3 linked regions of the Macaca fascicularis genome follow. The protein of the gene in region 1 binds, or shares a complex with, the protein of each later gene. Links are inferred from orthologs where the notes say so. Each region holds a gene or a part of one and is shown in the gene's direction. Other genes may lie near its edges.

Region 1 (4,028 bases):
CCTGAAGTTGCTGTAAGTTTTTTAGTCAACTTGTAATGTTGGCTCATGATGAATTTGTAATTAATTAAAATTCCAAGGTTTAATCTGGAGGATTGCCTTTATGTGATTTTTTCTTAAACCAAGTCTCCATTTTCTTTTAGTTATGCAACAGATTTTTTTTTTTTTTTTTGAGACGCTCGCTCTGTCACCCAGGCTGGGGTGCAGTGGCACGATCTCAGCTCACTGCAACCTCCACCTCCTGGGTTCAAGCAATTCTCCTGCCTCAGCCTCCCGAGTAGCTGCGATTACAGGAGTCTGCCACCACGCCTGGCTAATTTTCTTTGTTTCTTTTTTTTTTTTTTTTAAAGTAGAGATGGGGTTTCTCCATGTTGGTCAGGCTGGTCTTGAACTTCTGACCTCAGGTGACCCACCCTCCTTGGCCTCACAAAGTCCCGGGATTATAGGCATGAGCCATTGCACCCGGCCCTTTTTTTTTTCTTTCTTTCTTTTTTTGAGATGGAGCCTCACTCTGTTGCCCAGGATGGAGTGCAGTGACATGATCTTGGCTCACTGCAACCTCCGCTGCCCGGGTTCAAGGGATTCTTCTGTCTCAGCCTCCCGAGTAGCTGGGATTACAGGTACCTGCCACCACGCCTGGCTAATTTTTGTATTTTTAGTAGAGATAGGGGTTTCACCATGTTGGCCAGGCTGGTCTCAAACTCCTGACCTCAAGTTATCCGGCTGCCTTGGCCTCCCAAAGTGCTGAGATTATAGGCATGAGTCACCGCACCCGGCCTATGCACCAGATATTTTTAAAAAACCAGATGTAAGACTTTACACTTACCCCTATTAAATGTTATCTCATTAGCCTATCAGGTAGCTTTGGTTTTTTACTTTTATTTTATTTATTTATTTATTTTTTTGAGACAAGAGTTTCGCTCTTGTTGCCCAGGCTGGAATGCAATGGTGCGATCTCCGCTCACTGCAACCTCCGCCTCCTGGGTTCAAGTGATTCTCCTGCCTCAGCCTCCCAAGTAGCTGGGATTACAGGCATGTGCCACCACGCCTGGCTAATTTTGTGTTTTTTAGTAGAGACGGTTTCACCATGTTGGTCTAGCTGGTCTCGAACTCCTGACCTCAGGTGATTTGCCCACCTTGGCTTCCCAAAGTGCTGGGATTACAGGCGTGAGCCACTATGACCGACTGGTTTTTTTCTTAAGACTAGTCAAGTGCAGAGTGAGAAGAGGGAAAAGAGTAGAACAAGGGGTTTGATCAGCCTTGGTTTCTTTGAATCTTGATTTTTGTCATTCGGTTTATTATGCTGATTCAACAAAGGGCCCTGAAGCTAATGTTGGAATGTTTTCAGACATCTAGGAAATGATAATTCATCAAAAGTCATGGAGACTATTCCAAAAGTTTTATGCAGATATAACTCAGCTGTTGAGGTATGAGTTAATACCACTATAAGTTGACATGGCCAGGAAAGACAAGTCCATTGCCAACTTGCTTTGTGTTGAACATTACTCCAAAAGAGATTAAATTCTAAGACATATTGTGTCAACATAAAGGCAAAAGAGCTGGCTAATTCTTCTCAAGAAATCAATGGCTCGACCTTTTGGCTCATGCCTGTAATCCCAGCATTTTGGGAGGCCGAGGCAGGGGATCACCTGAGGTCGGGAGTTCAAGACCAACCTGACCAACCTGGAGAAACCCGGTCTCTGCTAAAAAATACAAAATTAGCTGGGCATGGTGGTGCATGTCTGTAATCCCAGCTACTTGAGAGGTTGAGGCAGGAGAATCGCTTGAACCCAGGAGGCAGAGGTTGCAGTGAGCCAAGATCACACTATTGCACTCCAGCCGGGGCAACAAGAGCAAAACTCCATCTCAAAAAAAAAAAAAAAAAATCAATTAATGCACATATAATATAGAGACAGAGTCCTTGTTACCATTATTTTGCCTTTGACAAGTTTATATTGAGCACATTATCAGGCAATGTGGGAGATTCTGGAGAACCAGGTTTGCCTCATAGCTAGGGTTACCATATGCTCTAGTTTGCCTGGGGCAACCCTGATTTATGCCTGTTGTCCCAGTGTGATTATTGCTAGTGTGATTTTTCACTTTGAGAAGTGTCCAGGTTTGGAAGATAAATTATCTTGCTATCCTTCTCATAACCTAATGGGTTCTCTTTAGTATTTTATCTGGGTTAAAATTACACAGCTGTAATTTGGCAGCTCTAATAAGACTGCAACAATACTTATCTTCCATTTGAACAGATTGTTACTTGACCAAGGGGAAGTTTTTTTTTTTTTTTTTTTTTTTTTTTTTTTTTTTTTTTTTTGAGGCGGAGTCTCGCTCTGCCGCCCAGGATGGAGTGCAGTGTTGCGATCTCGGCTCACTGCAAGCTCGGCCTCCTGGGTTCACGCCATTCTCCTGCCTCAGCCTCCCCAGCAGCTGGGACTACAGGCGCCCACAACCATGCCCGGCTAATTTTTTGTATTTTTAGGTGAGACGGGGTTTCACCCTGTTAGCCAGGATGGTCTCAATCTCCTGACCTCGTGATCCGCCCGCCTCGGCCTCCCAAAGTGCTGGGATTACAGGCATGAGCCACTGCGCCTGGCTACCAAGGGCAGTTAATAGCAAAAGTAACTGCAGGGCACATGTATGTCATGGGCAAAAAAAAAAAAAAAAAAAGCAATTAAGGTTTGCAGGTACTTAGAGTTTCTCCTGAGCCACTCTCTAGAGGGCAGTATTACATATATATCTGTAATTATCCAGTTACAACAAAAAAGGGGATCTGGTTCATGCATGAAAATCAGAAATATTTCATACTCTTAAAGAACACATTGGAACCAATATTATGATTAAAACATATTTTGCTAAGCAAAGAAATATTAAAATTAATTCATTAACATTCTGAACATTTTTTAATTTGTAAAAACTGAACTTTGATGCCTTGAATATATAATGATTCATTATAACAATTACGCACAGACTTTAATAATCTGCATATTTTATGCTTCTTTCATGTTTTTCCTAATTAATGATTTGACATGGTTAATAATTATAATATATTCTGCATCACAGTTTACATATTTATGTAAAATAAGCATTTAAAAATTATTAGTTTTATGCTGCCTGCTTAAATATTACTTTCCTCAAAAAGAGAAAACAAAAATGCTAGATTTTACTTTATGACTTGAATGATGTAATGTTAAACCCTAGTATTTAGAATTAGAATGTTTCTTAGCAGTTGTGTAGTTATTTTTATGTCATAAGTGATAATTTGTTAGCTCCTATAACAAAAGTCTATTGCTTGTGTTTCACATTTTGGATTTCCTAATATAATGTTCTCTTTTTAGAAAAGGTGGACAAGTCCTATTTTCAAGAGAAGATGACTTTTAACAGTTTTGAAGGATCTAAAACTTGTGTACCTGCAGACATCAATAAGGAAGAAGAATTTGTAGAAGAGTTTAATAGATTAAAAACTTTTGCAGATTTTCCAAGTAGTAGTCCTGTTTCAGCATCAACACTGGCACGAGCAGGGTTTCTTTATACTGGTGAAGGAGATACCGTGCGGTGCTTTAGTTGTCATGCAGCTGTAGATAGATGGCAATATGGAGACTCAGCAGTTGGAAGACACAGGAAAGTATCCCCAAATTGCAGATTTATCAATGGCTTTTATTTTGAAAATAGTGCCACGCAGTCTACAAATTCTGGTATCCAGAATGGTCAGTACAAAGTCGAAAACTATCTGGGAAGCAGAAATCATTTTGCCTTAGACAGGCCATCTGAGACACATGCAGACTATCTTTTGAGAACTGGGCAGGTTGTAGATATATCAGACACCATATACCCGAGGAACCCTGCCATGTATAGTGAAGAAGCTAGATTAAAGTCCTTTCAGAACTGGCCAGACTATGCTCACCTAACCCCAAGAGAGTTAGCAAGTGCTGGACTCTACTACACAGGTATTGGTGACCAAGTGCAGTGCTTTTGTTGTGGTGGAAAACTGAAAAATTGGGAACCTTGTGATCGTGCCTGGTCAGAAC
Region 2 (4,028 bases), on another chromosome or scaffold:
GAAAATAATTTGGTCTTTCTGCTCCTGAGAGGGAGGAGGTGTAATGGGGGCTATGTCTGTGTAAACAAACCCAGTGGTAGAGTTGTAGGTGCTCTGAGCAAGGAGGCAGATGAGAAAAGCTATGTTAAAAAGGAGCTGCTGGGCCGGGCGCGGTGGCTCACGCCTGTAATCCCAGCACTTTGGGAAGCCGAGGCAGGTGGATCACAAGGTCAGGAGATTGAGACCATCCTGGCTAACATGATGAAACCCCATCTCTACTAAAAATACAAAAAAAAAAAAAGAAAATAGTGGGGCATGGTGGCGGGCACCTGTAATCCCAGCTACCCGGGAGGCTGAGGTAGGAGAATGGCGTGAACCCGGGAGGTGGAGCTTGCAGTGAGCCGAGATCGTGCCACTGCACTCCAGCCTGGGCGACAGAGTGAGACTCTGTCTCAATAAAAAAAGAAGCTGCTGTAACTGAGCCTAAAATTCCAAACGACATGGGTAAGAGAAGGGCTTGTCGACGGAGTACTGAGGGGCCGGATAGCCCAGTGCATTTGGTAAAACTCGGGGCTGGATCGCAGCGTATATCAGTCTTCTTGGGCTGCTATAGCAAAATACCTTAGACAAGGTGGCTTAAACAACAGACATTTATTTCTCTTAAGTTAGGGAGGCTGGGAAGTCCTACATCAAGGTGTCGGCTAAGTCACTTTCTGGTGAGGGCTCCCTTTCTAGCTCATAAATGGTCACCTTCTTGCTATAGCCTCATATGGCAGAGATTGAGAGCAAGAATGAGTGAGGTCTCTCGTGTCTCTTCTTATAAGGACACCAATCCCCTTGGATCAGAGCCCTACCCTAGTGACCTCATCGGACTTTAATTACCTCCATAAAGACCCTGCCTCTAAACACAGTCACATTATGGAGTGCAGCTTCGATAAATGAATTTTGGGAAGACATAGTTCAGTCCATAGCATTGGATGTGACAGGGCATGGCCAGGATCAAACCAGGACAGGTAGGCAAGTGGCCCTGTCATGGCGGGCCCTGTGTGCTGTGTCAAGCAGCCTGAACTTGACCCAGATAAAGTGGTGCAAGCAAACTGTTTTAGGTTAGGGAGTTATAGGATGAGATTTGTCCTCCCAGGGCATCAGGCTCTCCTGGCCCTGCCCCTCAGACAGTTGGGCATTCAGCTTCCTCGTGCCTCTGGATTTCTTCAGCAAGGTCCAACTCTACTCCCATGTACCCCAGCAGCAGGAACACATCTCAGAAATCTTCAAGGTTCCCTGCAAATTCCTTCTCTAGTAGATTTGGATTCGAAAGTAGCACTGACCCCCAAAGGGTAGTGAGGAGTTCCAGAGTTATGGAATAGACCTCCAGCATTTCCTTTGGAAGTCTGCATGTGCAGATCTGTTTCACACTCATGTATCTGATATATATCAGGTGGGTACCTCCATCAGGCTAACACAGGAGAGTACCCTGGCACCATCCACCAAGGCTGGCCCTTAGTGATGTTGTCTGTCATAGGATTTCCGTAGTGAAGTACCCAAAGCATTTTCTAGCATCTTCATGCCAACCCTCTAAATCTCAGATGTTTGCTCTCTGAGCACACCAGCATAATTCTCATTAATGACTTGTGTGCAGAGTAGAGTGAAATCATTTCTGAAAAGCAGGTGTAAAAGCCCCATAGAGTCAGTCTCATTGGTGAGTGGAGCAGCTGTCAGAATTAGCTGATTTGATTATCTCCTTTCTTTCCTGTTGAAGGCTATTACTCGTGGAGGAGCCCAGGAAGAGGCTCCTGGTTTGTGCAAGCCCTCTGCTCCATCCTGGAGGAGCACGGGAAAGACCTGGAGATCATGCAGATCCTCACCAGGGTGAATGACAGAGTCGCCAGGCACTTTGAGTCTCAGTGTGATGACCCACGCTTCCATGAGAAGAAGCAGATCCCCTGTGTGGTCTCTATGCTCACCAAGGAACTCTACTTCAGTCATTAGCCATATCAGGGGTGCATTCTAGCTGAGAAGCAATGGATCAATCACTAATGAATCAGATTTTTTTTTTTTTTTTTTTGATGCTCTTGAAGTATTCAGAAATTCTCCAGAATTTTCATTTCGGGAAAATGTATTGATTCAACAGGGAAGAAACTTTCTGGTGCTGTCTTTTGTTCTCTGAATTTTCAGAGACTTTTTAAATAATGTTATTCATTTGGTAACTGTGTAACTTTCTCTTAAGATTAATTTTCTCTTTGTATGTCTTTTACCTATTAGACTTAATACATGCAACAAAAGTGACCTCTGGAGAAAGCTTGTGGCTGTGTCCTCTGTAATTGGTGGTAACAGTGGTAGGCAGAGTCATGTTTGCACTTGGCAAAGAGAATCCCAGTATTTGACAAAACACAGCCAAGGGGATATTTACTGACCTTTATTGCAGAATGTGGGTATTGAGTGTGATTTGAATGATTTTTCACTGGCTTAGGGCAGATTTTCATGCAAAAATTTCCAGATAAGAGGAGAAAAAGCTAAATGATTCTGATATGTATCCATCAGGATCCCGTCTGGAAAACAGAAACCATTCTAGGTGTTTCAACAGAGGGAATTTAATACAGGAAATTGACTTACATAGATGATAAAAGAGAAGCCAAATAGCAAGAAGCTGTTAACACACCCAGGGCTGTGACGATAATGGGAAGAGGTTTGGTTTCCTGAGTCTAGTAGTAGGATCATCCAGAGGAGCTGGAACCATGGTGGGGGCTGCCTAGTGGGAGGTAGGACCACTAATGGATTGTGGGAAGTGGAGCCATGACAAGGACAAAGCCACTGCCTGAGATGGATTGAACTGAGTCAGATACAGAGAATACCTTGGTCTCACCTCTCCTGCCCTCACATCTTCCACCAGCACCTTACCGCCCAGGCCTACCTGGAAGCCACCTTACCAAGGGCCTTGGAAGAGCAAGGGACAGTGAGGCAGGAGAAGAACAAGAAATGGATGTAAGCCTGGCCCATAATGTGAACATAAGTAATCACTAATGCTCAACAATTCATCCATTCAATCATTTATTCATTGGGTTGTCAGATAGTCTATGTATGTGTAAAACAATCTGTCTTGGCTTTATGTGCAAAATCTGTTAAATCTTTAAAATATATCTGGAACTTTTTAGATAATTCCAAGCCTTATTTTGAGTAAATATTTGTTAATTTTAGTTCTATAAGTGAGGAAGAATTTATGGCAAAGATTTTTGGCACTTTATTTTCAAGGTGGTGTTATCTTTTGAAATCTTGATAAATGACTGTTTTTTTCTGCCTAATAGTAACTGGTTAACAAACAAATGTTCATATGTATTGATTAAAAATGTGGTTGCTTAATTCCTAACCTGTCCGGTTTGCTTTCCTTTTGAAGTCATTTATGACAATGGAGAAATGAGAAAACAGGGTAAGAATTGACCCTATTGGCTGGACGCAGTGGCTTACGCCTGTAATCCCAGCACTTTAGGAGGCCGAGGTGGGTGGATCATTTGAGGTCAGGAGTTCGAGACCAGCCTGGCCCACATGATGAAACCCCACTTCTACTAAAAATACAAAAAAATTAGCTGGGAATGGTGGTGGGCACCTGTATGTAGTCCCAGCTACTCAGGAGGCTGAGGCAGGATAATCGCTTGAACCCAGGAAATGGAGGTTGCAGTGAGCCAAGGTCGAGCCACTGCACTCCAGCCTAGGCGACAGAGTGAGACTCTGTCTCAAAAAAAAAAAAAAAAAAAAAAAAAAAAAAAAAGATGAAGAAGAATTGACCCTATTGACTTGACCTCAATATATAATATAATGTTTTTGAAGTTAGTACACTAATAAGTAAGTAATTACTTGGGAAGCCAGGACTCTTCACATAAAGGGTTAATCAACTTAGAAAGATGTTTGTGATGGGCTGCCATTTATTAATTTTGGCAGTAAAATCAGATAACATAAAAGTATCTTTCAAATAAGAAAACTAATTTTGGGTGCATTTATTAGACTTGTCCCTGGTTTTCTGCCATCTAAAATATTCCAAATGTTCAAAATTGGAG
Region 3 (3,975 bases), on another chromosome or scaffold:
TGAGAGATTATTAAGAACCGATATAGAGTGAAAGAAAGGAGGAGTGGTATATGAGATGTTATAGACAACTAGATGATAGGACTTTGTAACTTTTCACTTATAGGAGCGATGAGAGAAAAAAGCGGTAAAGCCAAATAAATTGTTAAGCCTAGGGACTGGGAGAATGTTGGTGCCATTAAAAGAAATAAAAGTTAAAACAGGTTGCGTGCGGTGGCTCACACATGTAATCCCAGAATTTTGCAAGGCCAAGGTGGGCAAATCACTTGAGGCCAGGAGTTCAAGACCAGCCTGGCCAACATGGCAAAACCCCATCTCTACTAAAAATACAAAAAAATTAGTGGGTATGATGGTGCACACCTGTAATCCCAGCTCCTCGGGAGGCTGAGGCACAAGAAACGCTTGAACCCAGGAGGCAGGGGTTGCACTGAGCTGAGATTGCGCCACTGCACTCCAGCCTGAGTGACAGAGCAAGACTCTGTCTCAATTAAAAAAAAAGAAGAAGAAGTTAAAACAAGTTTTAGAGTTAAGAAACATTACACTTTCAATGTTTTTTGTTTTTTGTTTTTAATTTGAGGTACTAGGAGCACACAAAGGGTTGATGTCCAGAGGGCTTTTGAAAATATAAGATTAAGGTTCACAGCTGGGTGTGTTGGCTCACAACTGTAATCCTAGAACTTTGGTAGGCTGAGACGGGCGGATCACCTGAGGTCAGGAGTTCGAGACCAGCCTGGCCAACATGGTGAAATCCCATCTCTACTAAAAATACAGAAATTAGCCAGTTGTGGTAGCATGGAACTGTAATCCCAGCTACTTGAGAGGCTGAGGCAGGAGAATCTCTTGAACCTGGGAGGTGGAGGTTGCAGTGAGCTGAGATCGCAACCATTGCACTCCAGCCTGGGTGACAAACTCCAAAAAATTAAAAATGGGGGGGGAGGGAGGGAGGGAGGGAGGGAGGGAAGGAAGGAAGGAAGGAAGGAAGGAAGGAAGGAAGGAAGGAAGGAAGGAAGGAGGGAGGGAGGGAGGGAGGGAGGGAGGGAGGGAGGGAGGGAGGGAAGGAAGGAAGGAAGGAAGGAAGGAGGGAGGGAGGGAGGGAAGGAAGGGAGGAAGGAAAAGAAAGAATATATAAGGCAAAAGTTCAATGAAGACAGAAAATGTAATTGTGTGGATTGGGGAATAGAGGGGATGATTAAGTCCCTGAGGCTGAGTGGGATTCCCAGAAGAGAAAGTAGAAAGACAGACATCATATATAGATTTAGAGAACATACTTAAACTTCAGAAGGAGTAAGAAGACACAGGAAAAATATGGGACTTTGTGAAGAAGTAAAATTCTATGATTTATAATTTACATAGGACAGACAATTGCTGACAGAAATTGTAGTGAAAGCATTCCATATAAACCCTTTTTTGTTTTAAGAAATATCTACTTGCAGAATTAGGTTTCTGAACTAGCCTTAATATTAGTGGAAACTAAAGACATTGGAGCCTACCTTCTGTCTGCTCAGATGTTGACATGTTAGCCAATAGGAACTTCTAAGGCATATTCCACCTCTAATGAAGATGTTGTATTTTGTAGGAAAAACTCAACACTGTTCTTTTATGATGCTGCATCGCTGTCCTGGAAATCACAGTTGGGACAGCACCATTTCTGCGTCTCAAAGGGCTGCATTCTGTGATCACAAGACCACTCCATGCTCTTCAGCAACAATAAATCCACTCTCAACTGCAGGAAACTCAGGTAAATATTTACTGTGAAACACCTTGTAAGTGATGCCATTTAGCTTACATATTTATGTTCAGTGGGTTTACCATACAGTGAGATTTATTTGTCTTTATTTCCTCAATATGATAAATACATACCTTCTTAAGTAGGAAAACAAATCCCAGGAGATGGGAACGATGACATGGCCCACATGGTGTTCTGTGAACATCTAAATAGGGAGGCAGTACTAAGAGGAGGTATTAACATATTACTAATTAACAAATTTGCAGGTATCTTTTATATTTGAAACAAAATGGACATTAAACAAAACTGAACAAATCCTAGAAGATGGGAATGACGACATAAAGTGGTTTTTGCCCCAAGATTTATACCATATAAAAAGGCAGTGCCTTTTCTGGGGAGTGAGGGGGAGATAGCCCAAATCTCTGAGTGTTTCCTGAAAAATGATAGCATTCCCCCAAATACTGGTGTTCCATATTGGCACAATCATAGGAAAATTAGGTTTTATGCTTTATTGATTTTTCATGGAATTTTACTTATTGCTATGTATCTGTCCTCACCTTTTAAATATTCATTCCTTGCTCTTTTTCAGAACGTCTGCAGCCTGGTGTCGCCCAGCAGTGGATCCAGAGCAAAAGGGAAGACATTGTGAACCAAATGACAGAAGCCTGCCTTAACCAGTCGCTAGATGCCCTTCTGTCCAGGGACTTGATCATGAAAGAGGACTATGAACTTATTAGTACCAAGCCTACAAGGACCTCAAAAGTCAGACAATTACTAGACACTACTGACATCCAAGGAGAAGAATTTGCCAAAGTTATAGTTCAAAAGTTGAAAGATAATAAACAAATGGGTCTTCAGCCTTACCCGGAAATACTTGTGGTTTCTAGATCACCATCTTTAAATTTACTTCAAAATAAAAGCGTGTAAGTGACTGTTTTTCAAGAAGAAAAGTCGTTTTATAAAAGGATATTTATATCTCTGTTGCTTTGACTTTTTTTTTAATATAAAATCCGTGAGTATTAAAAGCTTTATTGAAAGTTCTTCTTTGGGTAAATATTAGTCTCCCTCCATGACACTGCAGTATTTTTTATTAATTAATACAAGTAAAAAGTTTGAATTTTGCTACATAGTTCAATTTTTTATGTCTCTTGTTAACAGAAACCACTTTTAAAGGGTAATAATTATTATTCTTTTTCATAACAGTGCCTTAAGGTATGATGTATTTCTGATAGAAGCCATTTTCACATTCATGTTCTTCGTGGATTATTTGTTACTCGTCTAAGATGCAATTTGATTTTATGAAGTATATACCGTTTTACCCACCAGAAACAGTACAGAATCTCTGCCCTAAAATCCCAGGCTTAATTGCTCTACAAAGGCTTATTAATTTAAAACTCCATTAATAGGATTACATTTTAAAGTTTTATTTATAAATTCCCTTTAAAAAAGATATTTCAAAGGTAAAACAATACAATATAAAGAAAAAATAAATATATTAATACCGGCTGTCTGTCTCCATTTTTAACCTCAGCCTTCCCTACTGTCACCAACAACCAAGCTAAATAAAGTTAACAGCCTGATGTTTATCCTTCTGTCCCTTTCTTCCTGCTTCTATTTAGAACATATGCTCATTTGGGAAAGGATCTTTTCTGCATATTATTATTATAATAATACATCATACTGCAACCTGCTTTTTGCATTTAATAGTACAGCCTTCCAGATCAGATATGGCTCTAACTTACTCTTTTTACTTGCTGCCTAATACCCACACTGTTTTTATTTTCTTAACTTGTCCGTATCAAATTTAGCCCAAACAATAAAAGTACAGTGTGAGCACTTTTTTGGTTAATGGGTTATATTACTATATGAGAACTTACAAGGAATAATAGCCGTTATCTGAAACCGCATAGCAAAGTCAGCAGAAAGTGAGATACAGAGTAAATTTGAAAAGATGAACTTTCAAGAAGCAACAGACCCAAACCTGAAAAAAGTTTGAATAAAAGAAATTAGATGGCATTGAGGCAATTAAATATTTTATTAGAAATATAAGTATTTTAATCTACATTTTAGCGCTTGACATTAACTTGTAGCTCTTACTGTGCCTTTCAGAAATATGGAAATCTATTAATTTCCATATTTGGAAATTAAATGAAAACTGAACACATGAGTTATCTATTAAATTTTAAAAAGCATTAAGATACAAATTTTATTTGTGAAGTAAAAAATAGAGATAAAAATTCTTTTACAAGCTT

The links.
Region 2: the proteins of XIAP (region 1) and CASP7 are in contact, whole or in part, in a crystal structure (PDB 1I51), measured with the Homo sapiens proteins. The link is inferred for Macaca fascicularis from reciprocal best matches to the Homo sapiens genes XIAP and CASP7. Residues at the interface, in NP_001158.2 of Homo sapiens: His136, Ala137, Leu140, Leu141, Gly144, Gln145, Val146, Val147, Asp148, Ile149, Ser150, Asp151; in NP_001218.1 of Homo sapiens: Tyr230, Trp232, Arg233, Ser234, Pro235, Gly236, Arg237, Trp240, Glu274, Ser275, Gln276, Asp279, His281, Phe282.
Region 3: the proteins of XIAP (region 1) and RIPK2 are in contact, whole or in part, in a cryo-EM structure (PDB 8AZA), measured with the Homo sapiens proteins. The link is inferred for Macaca fascicularis from reciprocal best matches to the Homo sapiens genes XIAP and RIPK2. Residues at the interface, in NP_001158.2 of Homo sapiens: Lys208, Asn209, Trp210, Glu211, Pro212, Cys213; in NP_003812.1 of Homo sapiens: His136, Asn137, Met138, Thr139, Pro141, Ile208, Asp278, Glu279, Arg280, Ser282, Lys285.

Annotation. Positions count from the first base shown.
Region 1 is NC_088395.1:130,112,549-130,116,576, forward strand, and holds part of XIAP (E3 ubiquitin-protein ligase XIAP), read left to right. Parts: intron 1-3,338; 5' UTR 3,339-3,370; coding exon 3,371-4,028.
Region 2 is NC_088383.1:122,773,555-122,777,582, forward strand, and holds the end of CASP7 (caspase-7), read left to right. Parts: intron 1-1,738; coding exon 1,739-1,968; 3' UTR 1,969-3,343; downstream 3,344-4,028. UniProt on the Homo sapiens protein: Thiol protease involved in different programmed cell death processes, such as apoptosis, pyroptosis or granzyme-mediated programmed cell death, by proteolytically cleaving target proteins.
Region 3 is NC_088382.1:99,493,027-99,497,001, forward strand, and holds the end of RIPK2 (receptor-interacting serine/threonine-protein kinase 2), read left to right. Parts: intron 1-1,573; coding exon 1,574-1,735; intron 1,736-1,857; exon of another isoform or gene 1,858-1,928; intron 1,929-2,312; coding exon 2,313-2,650; 3' UTR 2,651-3,229; downstream 3,230-3,975.